Diceros bicornis minor: one gene and its partner. The protein of the gene in region 1 interacts with the protein of each later gene in a biochemical or structural test. Links are inferred from orthologs where the notes say so. Each region holds a gene or a part of one and is shown in the gene's direction. Other genes may lie near its edges.

Evidence for each region. The genes of interacting proteins can lie anywhere in the genome.
Region 2: the proteins of NEDD4 (region 1) and TRERF1 interact in a test that uses a peptide from one of them, tested with the Homo sapiens proteins (2 studies listed by BioGRID and IntAct, with this or other methods). The link is inferred for Diceros bicornis minor from reciprocal best matches to the Homo sapiens genes NEDD4 and TRERF1.

Annotation. Positions count from the first base shown.
Region 1 is NC_080744.1:51,373,376-51,380,709, reverse strand, and holds the start of NEDD4 (E3 ubiquitin-protein ligase NEDD4), read left to right. Parts: upstream 1-4,291; 5' UTR 4,292-4,667; coding exon 4,668-6,227; intron 6,228-7,334. UniProt on the Homo sapiens protein: E3 ubiquitin-protein ligase which accepts ubiquitin from an E2 ubiquitin-conjugating enzyme in the form of a thioester and then directly transfers the ubiquitin to targeted substrates. Specifically ubiquitinates 'Lys-63' in target proteins.
Region 2 is NC_080753.1:23,087,203-23,094,229, forward strand, and holds the start of TRERF1 (transcriptional-regulating factor 1), read left to right. Parts: upstream 1-3,950; 5' UTR 3,951-4,022; exon of another isoform or gene 4,023-5,097; intron 5,098-6,015; exon of another isoform or gene 6,016-6,137; intron 6,138-6,268; exon of another isoform or gene 6,269-6,362; intron 6,363-6,370; exon of another isoform or gene 6,371-6,570; intron 6,571-6,707; exon of another isoform or gene 6,708-6,726; intron 6,727-6,989; exon of another isoform or gene 6,990-7,027.

The DNA of each region.
Region 1 (7,334 bases):
CCTATGATTTGATACATTGGCTTATAACCCTGGACAAATTATTCAATCCTTCTGAAAATATTTTCTTATGTTTAAAAAATAGGAGGCCCAGCCCAGTGGCATAGTGGTTAAGTTTGCATGCTCTGCTTCAGCAGCCTAGGGTTCACAGGTTCGGATCCCAGGCACGGACCTATGCACTGCTCGCCAAGCCATGCTGTGGCAGGCGTCCCACCTGTAAAATAGAGGAAGATGGGCACAGATGTTAGCTCAGGGCCAATCTTCCTCAGCAAAAAGAGGAGGATTGGCAACAGATGTTAGCTCTGGGTTAATCTTCCTCACCAAAAAAAAAAAAGGGATAATAATATTTGCTGATAAATGTATTGTGAGGATATAGCAAGATAACGGCTATCAAAGCACTCCAAAAATATTTCATCGTGATACAAATATAAAGCGTTATTTAACATTCATGGACTCATGCGTTTATGGCTTTCTGATACTGTATTTTTTGTGTTAACTGAGGTATGCTATTTAGGGTATCTGCTATGTTAGATACTTTCCTGTGCATTAGCACTATAGCTTTTCTCAAGAAGCTCACTTTACTAGCAAAAGGGAGCAAGAAATGATTAGAACAGGGCAGTGTGTGTCACTCTAATCCTCTGATTTGTTGCTAGTTCTAGCAGGTGATTGAAGTGTACAGATCACCTGAGATGTGATAGAAACTATAGCCATTGGTGGAGTAACAGGCTTGATTGTATAGCAATAAATGGCCTATGCCACTGTAAATGTCATTTTATCTTTATTCTCCTGTAGCATTCACAACTGAATTAAGAATGTCTCCTTTTCCTAGAAAATTCTCTTTGGAAATGTACAGTGAAGAGCACAGATATAATTTTAAGCAGAAGCAATTTCTAGTCATCTGGAAAACATTTGCAATGTAAGTGGTATTTGTTTCGAGAAAGAGTAGGCTTAAATTCCTTTTTTTCAGCCAATTTTAAGAACCTGAGAGTTAGAAACTATAGTAGTTTGGTTATGGTGATAGTGGTGGTAGTGGTGTTGATAGTGATGCTGTGCCTTTAAATGAGTTCTGCTCATTAATGCAAAAGTTAGTGCTTCTGTGTCACTACCTAAGAGCTGCACCTGCACACATCTAGCCTCTGAAGTTTGGGAGATGCCTGTATTCTTTATCCCGAGTGGAGATGCTATGCTTCTCAGGTTTAGTGGTTGTATTTGGGTTCTGGAGAGAAACAGAACCAATGGGATATACATATACACAGAGAGAGAGAGAGAGAGATTTATTTTAAGGCATTGCTTCACATGATTCTGGAAGCTAGTGAGTCTGAAATCTGTGAGGCAGAGCTGGCAGGTTGAAGATTCAGGTGAGAGTTGATGTTACAGTCTTGCGTCTGAAATCTGCAGGGCAGGCCAGCAAGCTGGAAACTCAGGCGGGGTTTCATTATTGTACTCTTGAGGCAGAGTTGCTTCTTTGGAAAACCTGTCTTTGCTCTTAAGGCCTTTATGTGAGTGGATGAGGCCTACCACATTATGGAGAGCAGTCTGCTTTACTCATAATTTACTGAATTAAGTGTTAATCACATCTAAAAAATAGCTTCATAGCAACATTTAGACTGGTGTTTGACCAAATAACTGGCAAAATAGCCTAGGCAAGTTGACACATAGAATTAATCATCACAGTGGACTTTGGCCTTCAAAGATCTAGTCAATGATTAGGGTTATCCAGAGCCTATCCATAGCATGTAGATAATCACATTATTTTCTGTGTAGATAATCAGTAACCAAACGTCTCAGAATGTGGGGTCCTGAGCTTCAATCTAATCCTAAGACATTATGCATTCATTCCTCCCACATAAGGGCTGCCAGCAGTCTCCAGCTCTTCTCCTCTTGAAGTTAGGGTTGATGTTCCTCTTTTGGCATCTTTTTGGCCAAGGGGCTACATTTTACCCCAGGTTCTACACATAACTGCTGTAATGGTGGTACAGATCCTGTGCAATCCCAGACCAGAGCCAGCAAAGCAAACTGCTCAGCCTCTAGAATTTAAACTCAGCCTGGAGTGCTAGGAAGTGCATATGATTCTTACCTCACTTTTCCTTGGCTGAAGCCCTCTTTGCAAATTTTTCAAGCATCATTCCTTCTGGTCCAGCTGCAATGTTTTTTGATTTTTCTTTAGAAGTGGTAGCTGGATCAACTTTAAAAAAATTCTGAAAGCGTTAGGAGGTCAGAGTAACTGCAGTGACCATCCATCCGTTTATCCAACTTCTGCTCTGCTGTTACCTAGTGCTCACTGTGTTGCCAGCATGAGCTCAGCAGGATCAGAAGAAATGTTTAGTTATGGTCCTCCTACTCTGGAAGCTTAAAATCTAGTTAGGGGACATGAAACTGACGCTTATAGAGGAGCTTCCCAAAGAGAAAACTTTTATCTGGCCAAATACCTGGGGTTCATTATTTTATGTTAACAACCTGAGGAGCTTTGCTTATTAACTGAAAGTTTTAGGCCACAGGCGTGAGCAGTTAGACTAGCTCATTGATTAGCCTCTTAGAAATGATCCATTCTTTGAGTTATCAGACCCCTAACTTAATTCAAGAAGGAAAGTTGAAGTCATTTGAAGGTAAAATGAAAAGATTAGGACTCTTCCTTCTATAAGGAAAAAGGATGATAAGGGAATATTTACTGAAGTGTGTAAAATCATAAAAGAGAGAAATTATACAAAACCAAAATAACTAATAATTTTATTACTCAGTTTACAATTATACATTCAAAAACATACTACTATCATTCTAGTCGGAAATATAATTTAATAAATCCCATGTTTCTATTTGGCCATGTCTTAACTGATTAAAAATACTGTTTAGAAAATTGTGATTGAAAACAGATTTATCTTAAGGAGTTTTTTTTTTTTTAAACAAAGTGCAAGTATATGTTTTACATATTTGCTTTTACTTAGGAAAAAAAAACTTACCTAGAAAAATACAACTTGGGTGTAGTACCATGTGGTGTAAACAACTGAACTATTTTACTTTACTTTCCTATGAATGAGCCAGTATATATTTATTACTGGAGTTCCAGCTATAAAATTCAGGTAAGGGGTTTAAATATACCCTAGAGTATTATTTAAAAATAAATTTGTTTCTTTCAAATAGAATGCCAACCTTGGTCCATGACATGTGGGGGAGAAATTAAAATATTAAACTTTTATTACCTAGTAAACTGAAAATAAAGTAAAGGTTAAATAAATACAAAGCAGAAAATATATATATACAAAATCACAACCTCTAAAAAGACAAACAGTCTACTGTTCTCTGCTGTGGGAGCTTTATCAACAGTAGTAGTAAGGAATTCCACCTCTAGGGCAGTGCTAGTACTCAAAAATGTAAACAAGTGTGTACTTTGTTTATATAAAGAAATACGCAGCATGGTTTTTATTTCTTTGTAGATATCAAACAGCTAAATGGATTGTTTCAAAGCACCAGTAGGGGCCAGCAAAGAGCTCCTAGAGTTTTTCAGAACAGAATTGGCATTGAGATATGTTTATTTGATGTGTTAAATCCTTTTTAGACTTCTTTACTTACCACAACACTCTTAAGTGAATGAATTGCAGAGACAGTGGAATAAAATATCTTGTGTGCTCAAACTACATTGGGGTATAGTTTTTCTGTCTAATCTGCATATATTTTTAATGGAATGTTTGCTTAGGCTGTTTTTTGGCAGAGTTGTGATAGTCAAAATATAAATGGCATCATTTAAAGACTGTACTACTTGGCTGGAAAAGGCCTTAAAATTACAGGAGAAAATGCCTGGTGACAGCTTCTCTTTAACTTTTTTTTCTCAGACGTGTGCTCGATTTTTGCAATTGTATTACTAGGCTAATTTTGTATTTCTATCCTTAAGCGTTCACTTTTTATAAGTAGTGTTTTGGAAGCTAAAATATTTATCTTTATCTATTTGATTTAATGCTAAAGTTTTAATTCACTCCAAAGTTTTGGTATTTCCAAATTTATACAACTATTTGAACTTACTCATTTAAAAAAAATTTAAGTCTATATTCCTTTCTACATTAACTAACTTGACTAGATTCCTAGTGTGGCTACTATTTGGAAATTCAATCCTTTATTTGATACTCAATTACATGGGGTTTCGTTCCTACCAACTTCCTGTAATTCTATCCCTATGGGTAAAAATATTAGTGGTCAAACTCAGCTGGAGAAAGTATAGGCACCGTGATTCACATGGTTAAATGTTCATTTAGTAGAGCTGGAGTGAAAAAATACTGTTTCAACTTGAAATGCTAGAAGATTGTTGTTCTTGTGTTACTCATTCATGCAAATTGGAGAAGGTATAATTGAAACAAGGTTGGCAGTGTTTGAGGCAGTGTGCTGCAGCTGAGCTCAGCTTAAAGGTCGCTGGAAATCAAGTGCTTTGTAAGTGAAGGCATTTTGACTACAAGCGATTCAAGACATTTTGGAAACGTCAGTCTCAGGAATGGGTCGTCTTTTTCTTTCTGTGATATCTGGTATCTAATGTTTTACTTAGGATAAAGACTACTACTTAAGAGCTCTTTTAGGCACCACAAATGATTTTTTCTTTCAGTGCAGTGCAGCTGCTTCTAGCCTGTCTACAGACAGAGATCTTTGTTATGACTTTTAGCCCTTAACATGTTTGGAAATGAGAACAAATGGCACAAAGCTTACGATTGCACTTTGCAGCCAGAAGAAGCAATACTTATCCTTTGTCAGAAACCTCCGGAGATGATTTGGATAGCAGTGTTCACATGTGCTTCAAAAGACCAACACGGATTTCAACGTCTAACGTTGTTCAAATGAAGCTGACTCCCAGACAGACTGCGCTAGCTCCGTTCTTAAAGGAGAACGTTAAGTCTCGGGAAAGATCATCTGTTCCTTCACCTGAAAATGTTAATAAAAAGAGCAGCTGTCTACAGATTTCACTACAGCCAACAAGGTACAGTGGATGTCTTCAGTCTAGCAATGTCTTAGCTGATGGCGATGATGCTTCATTTGCTTGTGTCTTGAAGGAAGGCATTTACAGCATTGCTGAGGTTGATAATGAACTGAATGCTGTGAATGATGGTAACCTTTTAGGCAGTTCTGCCATTTGCAGTGGTAGCCTTAGTAACTTTTCAGCCAGTGAGAATGGGTCTTACAGCAGCAACGGTAGTGATTATGGGTCATGCACGAGTATCACAAGTGGAGGTTCATACACCAACAGTATCCTCAGTGACAGCAGTGGTTATACTTTTACACCAACTGATGATACTTTTTTTGGTGGAAATTTATCTGCGGACAGCACCTCCAATAGAAGTGTGCCAAACAGGAATATTACTCCATGTGAAATTTTTTCAAGAAGTACAAGTACAGTTCCGTTTGTCCAAGATGACTTGGAGCATGGACTAGAGATTATGAAATTGCCAGTGAGCAGGAACTCGAAAATTCCACTAAAACGTTGTTCATCCTTAGTCATTTTTCCTAGGAGTCCTTCAAATACTCCACCAACTTCTCCAACAAATACAGGTACTCTTCCAAGCAAAGGATCCTATCAAACCTCACACCAGTTTATTATTTCTCCTAGTGAAGTTGCCCACAATGAAGATGGTACTAGTGCAAAGGGATTTCTTTCAACAGCTGTCAACGGACTTCGGTTATCTAAAACAATCTGTGCTCCTGGAGAAGGAAGAGACATACGACCACTTCACGGGAAGGGCTCATTACAAAAGAAAATGGTTGTTGCAAATAATAGTCCAAATCAGACTGTCTGTGAAAAGTCATCTGAAGGATATTCTTGTGTTTCAGTGCATTTCACCCAACAAAAAGAAACTACATTAGATTGTGAAACAGCAAATGGTGATTATAAACCAGAGATGTCAGAAATTAAGCTTAATTCTGGTTCAGAGTATATTAAGCTTATGCATAGAACATCTGCATGTTTACCATCCTCCCAAAATGTAGATTATCAAATAAATATCAATGGACAGTTGGAAAGACCAAATTCACAGATAAACAAAAACCATGCTATCTTACAAAGAAGTATTTCATTGGGAGGAACTTATCCAAATGTTTCCTGTTTATCCAGCCTTAAGCACAATTGTTGTAAGGGGGGACCATCTCAATTACTTATAAAGTTTGCATCTGGAAGTGAAGGTAAAGTTAATAATTTATCGAGAGACAGCAACAGAGATTTCGCAAATGAACTGTCTAATTCTTTGAAGCATTCTTGTGAGGTAAGTTTCCTCTGGTCTCAGTAAATATTAATTTATACTAGAATAGCTTTATGAAATATTTGTTTAAAATTTATTATAACTTAGTAGTTTTATATACTTTTCTGGTCCTTAGCTAGCAAATATTCTGTAGTCATGAATTTTATATTTGTAAATCTGAAGAATCCCCAATAGTTTTTCACTCTGTTATTTTACCAATATAGAAAATATGCATTAAAAAAAATAACTTTCCAAAGTGATTTAAGCCATAAAACATTTCTGTAGCATAAAAATAAGCTTTAAATAATAATTTATTTTGTAACATTTTACCTTGGTATATTTTTTAAGTGGCATAGTATTTTAATGTCTAACTCCATATTTATTCCTACTTTCAAAAATGCTCATTTGGTGTTCTCCCCTCCTTAATCATTGTGAAATAAAGTGAAATATAGGATGCTAATTTAAAATATTAAACAATAAAAAGCCCATATAAAAATGGGAAAAACTTGTTATAAATGAACATAGAGAAAGTGTTTCTCTAAAATACACGTATTTATTAGATTATTGATAAAAGCTATTATGCTGTATGTTTAAAGCAGAGGAAAAATAAATGGTATTTGCATTTGTATATACCTTAACCACAGGAATTTTGTTTCCACCCTATTTTTCTTTAGCTACCCGTTAGGACTGCTATCTAAAATGTAACTCACTCTTTGAAGGATATTGAATTCTAAATTTTATATTTTTCAATTTGGTTTCAATTGCTACGCATTTCCCCTAATTTTCTAGCTACCTTATAAATTTATTTTGATAATTTTGCTTTATTATATTAGTAACTTGACTCTAATGACTCTTAACTAGAACAGCTCTTTATGTAATTTGGCCTTTCCAGAGTATTTTAAGCGTTTTGAATTTAAATAGATTTTTTAAATTTCTGTATTTGGAAAGTCTTGCCAGATTTCAGGAAATTAAGAAATTTTTCTGACTAAACCAGTACTAAATGACAGTACCTAATAGTTTGGGGGAAAAAAACTTATCTGTGTTTATGTAACACTTAATATCTATATTAAAGATTTTTTTAAAACTTCTGGACAAGTAGCTTTAAGTAAATAAAATATTAAGTAATTGCCA
Region 2 (7,027 bases), on another chromosome or scaffold:
TATATTGTCTCATCTTTTCTCTGAAATGCAAATTTTCTCTCAAAGAGGACAAACTTTCATTTCAAAATGGGGTCATCCGTAAAAATAATTCCGGTCACGCAGCGGTTAAGTTCCACCACTCTGCTTTGGCAGCCCGGGGTTTGCAGGTTCAAATCCTGGGCGTGGACCAATGCACTGCTCATCAAGCCATGCTGTGGTGGTGTCCCACATACAAAATAGAGGAAGATGAGCACAGATGTTAGCTCAGAGCCAATCTTCCTCAGCAAAAAGAGGAAGATTGGCAACAGATGTTAGCTCAGGGCCAACCTTCCTCACCAAAAAATAAATAAATAAGTAAGTAAGTAAGTAAATAAATAAATAAAATTTCAGCAGTTTGAATCCAGAACACAGAAAAATTACTCCTAGAACAAAACCCAAATGCTCAGTGGGCCTAAAAGATTTCATTTGCGTATGAATTGGCTCTATCTCCATTTCCATTCAGCTATGTTCTCTTCTTGAGATAAGCAAATAACCAGTGTGACCTCAGAAATGATCCTTCTCTTGTCAAAGCCAACAGCATTCCTTAGACTTCCAGTCCTGGACAGCTGGAAGGGGCCAGAGAGGTCTAGCACCCTAAGGACAAATGAGGGAATGCAGAGCCATGATTCTGGACTGGGTGACAGAACGGGTAAGCACACAGTTGAGAATTTCGCCCAGTGCATCAGATTTCTAATCCATGCAATTTTGAGGTGGCTCTGCTGAGACACCCATCTTCAGGGAAATAACAACCGATGCCAATCCTCCTCTTTTTGCTGAGGAAGATTGGCCCTGGGCTAACATCCATGCCCATCTTCCTCTACTTTATATGTGATGCCGCCGCAGCATGGCTTGACAAGCAGTGCGCGCCCGGGATCCGAACCTGAGAACCCAGGGCCGCAGTGGCAGAGCGTGCGCACTTAACCATTGTGCCACCAGGCTGGCCCCTGCCCCCAATTTTAATTTGCCCGTTCCTCTGTCACCCAGTCCTGCTGTCATTTACCTTACTGTACATTGTCCTTGGTGTGGTTGAATGGGTCCTTAACAATTACCTGTCCACCTTGCTCTCTGCAGTGTTCATCTCTGCCCCCTTCCTGGTTTACCTGCCAGATGCAGGTGTTGCCTTGAGTGTCTCACAGTAACAAAACATTTTTGCATACCTACCAGAAGCCAGGACTGTATTTCAATAATTCAAAAAATTATATTTTTATATTTATAATTATTGATAACAATTTATCGTAATTGAATAAGCCTGAAATTTTACATTTGAATGCTTTAAAATACAATTATTTTACTTTTAAATTTATTTTGGATTTATTTGAAACATTTCAAACATTCAATAGAAGTAGGGAGAATAGTAAAATGGACAGCTTCGACAAATACCCACACTCTGCTAATCTTGTTTTATTTATCTCCCAGTTTTTGGGGAGGGGGCTGGAGTAATCGAAGATGAATCCTAGACATACTTTCACCCCAAATTCTTCATTATGCATCTCTAATAGATAAGCACTTAAAAAAAAAACATAACCACAATGCCATTATCACATCTAACAAAATTAATAATTTCTTAACATCTATATCAAGTCCACATTTTATTTCCCTGATTGTCTCAACAATGTCTTTTTAACAATTGGTTTACTCAAATCAGAGCCACACAAGATCTAAATATTGCATTTGGTCTACTAGGCATTTTAAAAGCTCTTATTTATAAGCATTGGACCTTCACATTAAACCAATGAAGAATGTGTGGTCCCAGTTCACAGGTTAGAGAGCTGGGGCTCAGAGAAGTTAAGAAACCTCCCCAAGGTCTCATTGCTGGTGGAGTCTAGACCCAGAGTTAAGGTCTGCCTAAGTCCAAAGATTTCCATTCTACTTCTTCCCCATCAGGCCACCAGAATTTTCCCTGTGTTGCAGGGAGGCAAGAGGGCTAGTGGTTAAGAGAGGATTTGGGCTCAGGTTGGCCTGGATACACATTGGAGCAAGTTATGTCATCTCTCTGATCCTCCACTTTTGTCTGCATCTGTAAAATAAGGATAATGAGGATGGTTTGGGGCTGATTAAATAGGATAAGGCATGTCTAGTCCTTAGCACAGTGCTTGGTCCATAGAAAGCACTCAATAACTGTAGAGGAGGAGAACGAACCACAAAGGGTTTGTTTGCTTTTGTCGGTAGCTCAGGAAACGGTGGTTCATCATTGTTAATACAACCTGTTTAGGATTCAGGCTGAAGGGGTGGGGAGGGCAGGGGTAGGGGTAGGAGTAGGGTGGTGATTCTGCCTGGATTGGAGAAGGGAGTCCTGGACATAAAGATTTAAATAGGCATCTGAGGGCTTCTCCCCAGGCCTCAGCTGGAAAACTGGTAGGTGGCAGAGAGGGTGGGAGGGAGACTTCTCTACGTTTATTCATTTATTGTAATTTTATTTATTTTTTCCCCCAAAGCCCCAGTAGATAGTTGTATGTCATAGCTGCACATCCTTCTAGTTGCTGTATGTGGGACGCAGCCTCAGCATGGCCGGAGAAGCAGTGCGTGCATACGCGCCCAAGATCCGAACCTGGGCCGCCAGCAGTGGAGCGTGGGCACTTAACCGCTAAGCCACGGGGCCGGCCCTCTACGTTTTTTAAAATTTGGAACCATGTGAATGCATTAAACATATCCCAAAAAATGAACTGCATTAAAAAGACTCTTTTACCATGGGGGTCAGTGCTGAGAATGGGAAGACTAGGACCTAATGATAATAATAATAATAATAATCCCTTTATACTTGTTGTAGCCCTAGGAGGGCTTCAGTTATACAAGGCAGGTTCTGCACCAGGATTGGGACTATTTCAGCCTGACTCTGATTTCAAAGATCCAAGGGAATATTTTAATCTCAGCTATCCTTCCTCTGACACTCATTCTAAGAGCCCAGAACCAGCGCTCACAGATTGGGGATTATTCACCCGGGGATTGTCTTCAAGCATATGCATTGTTGAGGGCTGAATCTATTGGCTAAATAAGGTCTTTGTATGTACTGTCTGTGCATGTATCTGCGCTTTCCCAGTTTTTTAGGCCATAGATCATCTTTGATGCTAAAATCACTTAAGACTCTGGGGCCTTGATTTTTCAGAGTCCTTAGGAAGGGAGGAGGTGCATAACCCCACTCACAAACAATCAAGAACTTGCCTAGACACTGTGCTAAGGCCTTTACATATATTAACTCACAATAACACTACACTCTAGGTACCATGATTCAGACTTTACAGGCAAAGAAACTGAACCAAACGAGGTTAAGAAATGTGCCCAAGGCCAGAGCTTGCAGGCTAACCAGTAGGCAATACTACCTCTCTGTTGGCAGTGGGCCAAGTATGTAGGGGTCCTTTGAAGGTGACACAAGCGTCCTTGGCTGTGTAGCAGCCATACCTTGGGTCCCAAATCCTTCCTTCTCAGCAACGTCTGGTTTAGCAGGAGGAAAGACCAGTGTGTGAACTTCTGCATTGGCCCTGGGTAATTTACTTTCTCCCTCTTAGCCTCAGGTTCCTTATCTGCCCCAGGGAGGAGCTTCAGATGAAAGACCTCTCCTTGCATTACCTGTGTGGGTGTGTGCTGGGGGTGAGAGGTGGAGAGGCTGAGGTTTCTGGCCGGTGCGCTGCTTTTCCCAGGTCTCTTGAGGAAACCGGGTTTTTGAGGTTCTGTCTCAGCCAACTCCCTCTCAGGAGGTCAAGGCTCAAGCTTGGCTATTCCTCCTCTGCTGGGAAAAGGGCCGCCACTGGGGCCAGCTCCGGCCACAGCCTGCCTGCCCTGAGGTCTAGGGTGGGTCTTTCTCCTCTGAGGGAGTTAGAGATGAGATTGTATCTTTAGGAAGGCCTCTTGGAGATAGTGACAGTTGAGTCCTGAAGGTCTAGCAGGAGTTAGTAAGAAGAGGTGAAGAGGGAAGGCTTAGCCTCCCCCCCCCCCCCCCCGTCCCCACACCACAGAACAAAGAAGCACCATCGGGCTTACAGTATAGGAGGAGCCGTGAGAGTGGAGAGGTCTGTAGAGGCGAAATCACGCGGGGCCTTCAGAGCTTGGCTTTATTCTAAGAGCAACTGGGAGGGGTTGGAAGGAGTGTAATCAGGAGTTTTAGAGAGACTCCTTTAGCCGCTTGGGAAGAATGGGTCCGAGGGAGGCAGGAGGCTATCACAGAAAGCAGTCGGGTTGGAAGATGACCGAGGACTGAGGAAAGGCGTGGGGGGCGGGGACTGAGCATCTGAGCCTTTCTCGGTCCCCGCGACACTGTGCGCTGTCCCTCGACTTTCTTTGCTTGTATGGAAGGGCCCCGTAAAGGGCTGGGCACCGGCCAAACGCTCATTGAGCGAAATAGCCCAGACTTCCCTCCTCTTTCGGGGGCCTTCTGGTCCAGGTGCCCCAGAATTGGGAGGCTTATGCGGGAAAACTTACCACTGCTGAAGATGGAGAACCGTTACCCCTCAAAATACACAAAAACCTCGGCCGCTTTTGGCAGCATTCTCCTCCGCCCATGACCTCATGCTTTAAGCTCCCATATAGCCTTCCTCCGCCCTGTCCACACCCAGCGCCTGAATGGGGGTGGGGCGCGGGACAGTGGCGAAGGTCCGGATAGCGAAAGCACCTTGTGTATCCCGCGCGAGATTTGGAGGAAGGGGCGCAACGATTTCCCTGCACTGAGAAAAAGCATGGTTTAACTTTCCTTTGAGAAAAAACCTCGCTGTCTTGTGGGCCCTCCATGAGATAGACGCCTCGAACCCGGCTGGAGGTGGTCTGTTTAGCCGAACCATCTTTGGTTCACGTTTCCTCGGACCAGGAAAGAGGTGTGGGGTCCCGGGCTGGACAGATGGGCGGCCGCGCCTTCGCGGGACCTGGGGGCTGTCCTGCTCTCACCCCCCTGGCGCCGCCGAGGTTTGAACCCTTGGCTCGCCTTTCAGCCCGCGCCCTGCCCCCTGCTCGCAGCTGCTCTCGGTTTGGGTGCAGCGGTTTCCCCCGCAGAGGAGAAGGAGGAGACAGCGCAAGGAGCGACTCCCGGCTCGGGTTTCCGCACCAATGCCGAGCAGCCCCGGGCGGCCCCCGGCGGCCGTCCCTCCTCCCCGGCACCACGTTCCACAGTCATGGCGCGCGAGGAGGGGCGAGCGCGCGCCGCGGCGGCACCCGCGCCCCCTTCCCTCCCCTCCCCTCCGCCGCCCGGCCCCGGCCCCTCTCCTAGGCAACCTCCCTCCCCGGCCTGCTGCGCCGCCGAGATGGAGACCCCTCCCCAGGGAGCGGCATTTCCAGCGCCGTATGCAGCACCCCCTCCCCGCCCCCATCGGGGCGGAGGGAAGAAGCCGCGCGCTCCGCGAACCTCCAGCTCCTTCCCCGGAGCCTCAGCCCCTCTCCCAGCCCCACCGAGGCCGGGGTGCAGTGGGGGGTAGGCGCAGACCGTCTCCCCGCAGCCCCCCTAGAATTTGGCTTCTTTGCAACCCCTTTAAAAAAATAAAGAAATCCCCAAACCCTAGTCATCAGATTGCAAAGCGCGTTACAATAACCGGGACGGCTACGCAGGAAGCAATCCTGCACTGGTACGGGTCTAAGACGGCAGCTTCCCGGCCAAGCCGCTTCTCCGGGGCCTCAATTTTCCGGCCTCCCCGGAGAGTCTGCCACACCCCGGGGCTGACAGGTCCTACACGGGGCTGCAACTCGGTCCGCGCCCCCCGCCCCATCCTTGAACAGAGTCTCGCCAGCCTACAAAAGGTGCAATCTCACGCACTTGCAGAGCACACAAATAAGGTCGGCAGCGCATCGCGGGGAAGGCTGCTAACAATGCGCAGGGCAGCCTGCGCCGGAGCGCGGCGCCCCGGGGAACAGGGGGCGCGGGCGGGGGCCGCGGCGGAGGACCGGCCGGCCGCGGCGCTGGACACCTTACTTCCTGCTTCCCCGCCAGACCCAGCTCTGCGGAGGGATATCTCTCCCCTCCTCTGTCCCTCTCTCTCCCTTCCCCCGGCCTCCCCCCTTTTTGCTTCTGCTCCCCCCCCCACCCCGCCTTTCTCCTTTTGCAAGAAAATAATTTGACAGTCGATTTGCTGACAGGGGAGGAATTTGCATCCTGGATTAAAAAAAAAAAAAGGCCGAGAGGAGCTTGGGAACGGTTGCTAGGGGTGGGTAATGGTTGAAAAAAGGGGGGCGCCGGGGAGCGGATAAGGAGGGTTAAGGGAGGGGGCAAGGGTGGGGAGCAATGCAAAAGGTAAGGCCAGGTTACCGCGGCTCGGCCCCGAGTGGGCTACGGCCGGGGGAGGGGCAAGAGATACATATGTATTTCTGTCTCCCTAGCACACCCCCTTCCCTCTAAGCGATGGCTGAGAGGCGGTGCATGCAGATGGGGAGTAAGTTTCCTGAAGGGGAGGGTGGATGCACGCGCGCGGCCCCGCGCTGCAAATTTCCACCGGGGAGGGAGAGTGGCTGGATGCGGAGAGTTTGGAGTTGCTTGCGGCGGAGGGCAGGAAGGGGAGCAGGGCCGGGAAAGGGGGCTGGCGGGCGCTATTTCTGGGAGTAAGTTTCCAGGATCAGGAGAGCCTGCACGCTAGCTCGCTAGTAAGTTTCTGGCCGGGGAGGGCGCGAGGGGAGGAGGAGAGGGAGGGGTGCATGTATATAGAAGGGGGGGAGGGGGGAGCAGATTTCCTGCGGGGAGGTTGAATGCATATGGAGAGTAGATTTCCTGGAGGGAGGTTGGAGGCGTAGACGGACCGAGTAAGTTTCTTGCTGGGGTGGTAGCAGAGGCGGTGGGTTGGTGCTTTGGAAACCGGGAGCTTCCTACCGGGCGTGGGGGAGCACGCTATTGGGTGGAGGGGGGGCGAAGGGCCAGGTTCCCTACTGGGGAGAGGGGCTTGCATCTGGGGAGTATGTTTCCTGGCGGAGCGATATTTGTTTACAGGCTGAGGGCAGTACTGTAAGTGAGTAGCGCTTCGAGAAGGCGGCTCTGACATAAATTAATATTGAAATTACTCCATCAGCTCTGCTCGCCCCCCATCCCACCCCCCAAGCGGAGACT